Danio rerio: one gene and its partner. The protein of the gene in region 1 binds, or shares a complex with, the protein of each later gene. Links are inferred from orthologs where the notes say so. Each region holds a gene or a part of one and is shown in the gene's direction. Other genes may lie near its edges.

What was found.
Region 2: ecsit (region 1) and tmem186 share a complex: the UniProt entries of both Homo sapiens proteins name them as parts of the mitochondrial complex. The link is inferred for Danio rerio from reciprocal best matches to the Homo sapiens genes ECSIT and TMEM186.

The regions. Positions count from the first base shown.
Region 1 is NC_133182.1:17,776,952-17,780,614, reverse strand, and holds part of ecsit (evolutionarily conserved signaling intermediate in Toll pathway, mitochondrial), read left to right. Parts: intron 1-232; coding exon 233-353; exon of another isoform or gene 354-3,053; intron 3,054-3,114; exon of another isoform or gene 3,115-3,521; coding exon 3,522-3,663.
Region 2 is NC_133197.1:27,568,198-27,571,307, forward strand, and holds tmem186 (transmembrane protein 186), read left to right. Parts: upstream 1-1,292; 5' UTR 1,293-1,315; coding exon 1,316-1,324; intron 1,325-1,413; exon of another isoform or gene 1,414-1,489; intron 1,490-1,595; coding exon 1,596-2,273; 3' UTR 2,274-2,478; downstream 2,479-3,110. UniProt on the Homo sapiens protein: As part of the MCIA complex, required for efficient assembly of the mitochondrial complex I.

The DNA.
Region 1 (3,663 bases):
GCATTAATAATGTCTCAAAGGAAATCAATTTTCAAATAAATTGTGCATGATTGTTTTTAAATATTATATGCAGTAAAAACTATTTTCAACGCAACATGATTGTATTTAAATCCTTAATAATAATTTGGAATGACTAGTAATTAATAAATACTGCAATGTTTAATAATAATATCAATTGATTCTTTAAAAATCTCCATTCCAGATTATGTTTTAGCATCTGATTTTTCATCAGGTTGAAGAAGAAATTGACCCTGAGATGATCTGCCCAGAGCAGAGTCTGTTCTTCCCTCAGCGAGTAGAGCTTGATCTGAATGTAGACATGGGTGACGATCACAGTTTCAATGTAGATGAAGGTGAGACTCATACTGCTTTATTAACTTAAACTTTACACGACAATGATGTAGCCAAAAATGCAAACGTTTTACCCTTGCGTTTTGAAAAAGTTCCACTTCATGTCACAATCTTTACATAGCAGCAAAAATGCTGTATTATGTACGCCAGGCCTGTAGTTTGTGCTATCACCTTGTTGGTAAACCGTACCTGTAGGGAACTTACAATGCACAGGCACTTGTGTGTTATTTGCTGTGTGTGTAAGATGGGTCTCCACTTTTGGTTGTAATGTGTAGTAAATCCGCACTGAAGTGATAGGATAGCAGATGAAGTGGTAGGATACACTAGAGAAGCAACAATACTACCATGTACTCTTTATCTATCATGTAATTTTTTTTTTTTTTTATATATTTTCCAAATGATGTTTAACAAAGCAAGGAAATTTTCATAGTATGTCTGATAATATTTTTTCTTATTTGTTTTATTTCGGCTAGGATAAAAGCAGTTTTAAATTTTTTTAAAACCATTTTAAGGGCACAATTATTAGCCCCTTTAAGCTATATATTTTTTCGATAGTATACAGAACAAACCATCGTTATGCAATAACTTGCCTAATTACCCTAACCTGCCTAGTTAACCTAATTAACCTAGTTAAGCCTTTAAATGTCACTTCAAGCCAGGGGTCACCAAACTTGTTCCTGGAAGGCCGGTGTGTTGAGGCCAGTTGGAGCTAAACCCTGCAGGGACACCGGCCCTCCTGGATCGAGATTGATGACCTCTGCTTTAAACTGTATAGAAGTGTCCTAAAAATATCTAGTCAAATATTATTTACTTTCATCATGGCAAAGATAAAATAGATCAGTTATCAGAAATGAGTTATAAAAGCTATTATGTTTAGAAATGTGTTGAAGAAATCTCTCCGTTAAACAGAAATTGGGGAAAAAAATAAACAGGGGGCAACCAATTTAAGGGGTCTAATAATTCAGGGAGGCTAATAATTAGCATTTCAACTGCACCAGGGGCCCTCAACCTTTTTACCACTGCAGACCGGTCAACGCTTGACAAATTTACCACGGACCGGAAGGGTGGGTGGTGGGTGTAGCGGTGTTTCATAGGTTGTAGGTTGCTAGGCGACCATCAACCATTTTCTCAGAGGATTGACAAGCTGAAAAAACATTGCTGCCACTCTGATACAAGTTTTATTTATGGAAAACGATTACAAAGCACTGCAGTGTTTGAGTGTTCTGTTTTTGACTGAGATAATTAGTCTACCGAAATGTGTATATTCCATACAAGCTGAAGCCAATCGGTCAATTCTTGTCACGTGACTCGAGGTGTGCTCGAAGAATTCATTCGATTGTGTGTCTGGAAGGCGCAAGTGCGTCATGCTGCTTGTGCGTGCAAACTGCACACCTCCATTGGAAACAACGAACTTGTGTGAACTCTAGATAAGATGCGATATGCGAACGGCTGCTAACAGGCCACCGTCAATTGCGATCTGCAGTAGTTGATCTTGCACAGACATAGTGGATTCACCTGATTTGTTGGTAAATGGGTTGTGGATCTATTTCTTGGCAGTTTGCAGGTCCTTCACTGGGCCTTTTTCCTTTAGCAAAAAAACTTTCCAAAAACGTCTGTTTCTTACTCATTTTGCTGCTTGTGGGTTAAATTTGGGCCGAGAAGTAAGCGAAAGAATACGGTCATTTTTCAAAATAAAAGATCGATCAGACTAAGATAATAAATAAATTGAAAATACTGAATGCTTTCTTGTGCGACCCGGTACCAATTGATCCATGGACCAGTACCGGTGGTTGAGGACCATTGCTATATACTATATATATCATTCTATATATACTAAGACTTTTGTTTTCTGGTGTTTACAGAATCACAACAAAGATAGCTTTTTTAAACGCTTCTGTGTTGAAACCTGTTTTTCTGTGCTTTCAGTCCCTAAAAAAATGTTGTCATGTAAACAAATACACAAAACATATTGACCTTATTCTTGATTCAATTGGCTGCACCTGCTCATACGCGCAGAATAAGGTCAGAAGATATTTCCCATCTTTGATTTGTTGCCATGTAAATGGCCTCTTTCCTATTACGCTAATATATTTGTACATGCTTTATATTAAAATGGTATTCTATTGATTTATGAACCTGTTTAATATGTGTATCTACAAAATCTATAAAAAATGTAATTATCTAATAATATGGAACAATTCTGACCCGATTTATTAATTCCAAGAAGCACTGTTTTACAGACCTATTATACTGACTGACACATATGCAGCTTCTTCCCCAACTGTTTACATTCACAGACACAACCAACATTGTGTTAAAACTACATAACCTTTTGTGTATGTAAAAAAAATAATAAAATACTCTATGCAACAAGTCATCTGAAGGCCAAATTCTGTGTGCATACTTTGTATCTATGTGCTTAGTAACAGAGTTAAATCAGCAAGGCTTTAAAGTACTTATGAAATCAAACTAACCATATTGATTTAGTTAGCTCAGATTGCTAATTTGGTGGTGAACAATTCATCTGTGCATGTCATTAATCTAAAATTAAAATCTGTAAATGCACGTCCTTTTTGTTTTCAAATAAATTCTCAGATTATGTCTGTTTGGGGTATTGGTTGGAGGGGCGTGGTTGGGGCGTTAACCCACGCCCCTTCAACTGTTAACAGCACCATGACAACAAACAGAAATAGTGAGGAGAGGTGTCTGTTAGGTTGTAATAACTCTCCCGAAACCTTTTTCCAGATCTTTCTGAATAAAAAGCCTATTTTACTATATCCAATCAGCTTGCAGTAGAAAAAACAAGCCACGCCTGCTGTTTTCTAATTTAATATTCAGTTTCTTTAGGAACTGGCACGATACAAACCAAAAGAAAATGGTTGCAGCTTTTGGTTTATGTGGACTTTAAAACCCGCACAGATGTTTTGTTTGTTGTTGTCAGAGTAACTGAGGCACAAGCTGTGAAGGCCCTCTTCTGGAAAGGGGGCGGGGAGAAGCAGCTCATTTGCATATAAAGTAATACACACAAAAACATGGCATTCACAGCATGGAATAATAAATCATCCGTGAAACCTGAGGAGTCTTAATAAATCTCTTAATATGATTATTAATGGAATTGTTTGCATATCACCTAATTTTAAGCAATGATTTCTGCTGATTTGTTTCTGCAGTGGAAGAGGGGGCAGTTTATGCTATGTGTATGGCCGGCCAGGGTGACCAAGCCACTCTGTCTCAGTGGATTTCTGGTCTTCAGGAGACCTGTCCCATATTGGGCCAGATTCCTACAGTGTTTCGACTGGAGTCTGGACCTAG
Region 2 (3,110 bases), on another chromosome or scaffold:
CGTGCGAATTATACATTGACGAACGAATGGGTCAACTTTTTTGATAGTAGTTTGGTAATACATTCTTCAGTGAATCAAATGTATTAATGTACTAAAATTACACCTCATTTATTATTAAAATGTATACGCTTTCAGTGTATTGATATTTAGTGATTTTTTAGAAGTTGCTGAAGGTCAAAATACAACTATTTTACAAGAAGTGTTTTGTGAAAACTTGAGATGTCTATCGGTGCCAGTTTCAGACTGTTGTTGAATGATATTTTTTCTTAGTATTGATTGGGGCGATTATATTTTCACACATGGTATGAACCATTATAAGGGTATATTTATTATGTTATAAATTTTTTATTTTCAATATTTAATTAAAGAGCTATTAAAGAGCTGACCCCCCCTATTCATCTTGTTTTAATGTCCTTCAGGGGGGACAAAGAAGTGTTAATGAGGGGTCAATCCCCCCACCCTCCAACCCCCCTGTAATTCGCACCCTTGATGTTACCCACGACACTTTTATGGTACTGAAACAATCAATTGTTTTTTAATGCTAAAATTTTTGCCAAAATTAGAAATAACGTGTCGAATAATAATATATAAATGCTTATTAATTGTTTTTATTTTCACTTTAATTAAATATTAATGACACCGAATAATTAATAACAAGGAAAATGTCATGCAAAATGAGAAATAAAATGCTTACTTTTTCACATCAAAGGAACAAATCAGTAAATAATAATAATAAAAAATAAATAAAATTACGGGATATATGTATATATAAATATATAAGGGATATATAAATTACAAAAAATTGCATAAGAAAAATTATTTCAGAATTGCACACATTCTTATAGCTTTTTTATTTGTTATGTCTTGTAGGGTTTCAATATGCATAAGATAAGTTTTAAACAAATAAATATTAGGCTTATCATTGGATCAGTTTTGTTTGTGTACATGGTACTTCCCATATATTATCATTAAATTAATAAACAAATTTTGCTCCAAGGTTTAGTTGTTATTATTGAATATCAAAAAATATTTTTACAAGAAAACTGAATTTTTAATTTAGTAAGTTTAAATATAAAATGTTCAACATCAAACCAAAATATTTGGGTATATGTGCATTCAACAAACAGGTGTTTTATCGATTCCTTCTCTAATTCACAAAAAGTGCACGTAGATTCCATGTCTCTAAAATATTTTTAACAACTTGTTTCAAAAACGATTTTGACAAGCGTTGATTTAAGGACTTTTATTTTGAAACGATACATAATATAACTCATGTCCAGCTTCACAGAAGAAGTGCGCGATGCACTGAACTTGTATGGACATGGTGAGTTCATTCAAAACTGAAATAATATTTAATAATAATGCGCGTTATTTAATTATGCTTATGTATTTTCTATGATTATCGCATATAAGAAGCTGGAACGCATAATCTGAGCCAACACAACAACTGCCTTTGTCAAGCACTGTTTTTATCAACATAATAAACAAGGTCAAATAGTCAATAGTCATGATGGTTACATTATCAAAATATTTTGTGTTGTTTTAATAATTAACATTAATAATAACTACTGTTGTGATGCTTACTGTCTCCTCAGATGATGATGTCAACAAGATTAATCCACCTTTCCCGTCATTTCCCTCAATATGGCTTTCGATGCCATCCTTCAGGACTTATTTCAAGTGCTCGCATGCAATACAACATCAACAACGGCCTGGCACACATGGGTAAACAGATGCCCAACACATCCACACACACCACGCGGATTCACCCGGCCTCATTCTCCTCTGACCTTGCCTCAAGAAAATACAGTCTAATCTATGCATTTCCACTAATCAGGGGCCTGCGGGCTCTTTCAAGACTCAAACTCTTACAGACGGGCATCACTGTTGTCCTGCTGCCCACTGTGTATTACCTCCACCTGCAGGGCCAGGCATCAGTGTTGGTCTTAAATCGCTCAATAGGCATTGCCTTGTTTGCTGGAGTCATGCTGTACTCCATAAGCCACTTTGTCAGAAGAGTGGTTGGCATGATGTATTTGGATTCAACACAGACCATATTAAAGGTGTCACATCTTAGCTTTTGGGGTCACAGAAGAGACATTTATGTACCCGTCTCAGATGTTGTGACTCTGGGAGATTCAGGAGACTCCAGGGGAGAATCAATTCTTCGGTTAAAGCGCTACAGCACTTCTAATACCATGTACTTTTCTACCAGACTGGGACGAGTGGTGGATAGACACGCATTTGGGAAGGTTTTTGGGAGTTTGTCATGAATTTGTGTAGTTTTGTATGTCATGTCATATGAAACTTTCCCAAAGTGAGAAATTAAAGATCTTATGGTAAAGTTAAGTATATGTAGCTTTTGTTTTGTGCATTTTATTAATAATTAGTGATGTAACAGATCACAAATCTTACGGTTTGGATCATATAATGTTTTTTTTAGTCACAGATCGGACTAGCCAAAAAGGGGAGGAGACAAATGTCATTTCTTTTCCATTTTATTACAAAAACTGCACTGCAAGAAACATTTGGTTTCAAAAAAACAAAAGTAAGAACCCTTATATTTATAAAAAAAAAAAATGAAGAAATAATTAGCTAAATATAAATAAATGGTAAAATATTCAGTACTGTGGAAAGATTCACAATTTCTGCTACTGTTGCTGATGACACTAAATGTAGAAATCTAACATTATAATTTGTACAACCCATATTTATTTTTAGTCTCGTTTTCAATAAATGCTTGTTATTTACTCATAAAACTTCATGTTTCATTGCTAGATGGATCATTTTTTATTATTATTCAGTGGCATATTTTTGATGGCTGGTTGAATTCAACCTATTGGTTAAATAATGTAATTACTGCTTACAACCTTTATTTTTGAGCGTCAAGTTAAATGTATATGACGTTAATTTTAATTTTTACCATAAACATCAGTGGTTTATTCTAAACTATAAACTGTTATCCCAGTACTTCTGTGTTATTTGATTGATTGTAACTCCATAACTAACTCAAAAGACCAAAGACTCAATCTCTTTCTTGATTTTTGTGTTGTCAGATTTGAATGCAGCAATTGGTAAGATAGATAAACATATGCAAATCACCATCATTT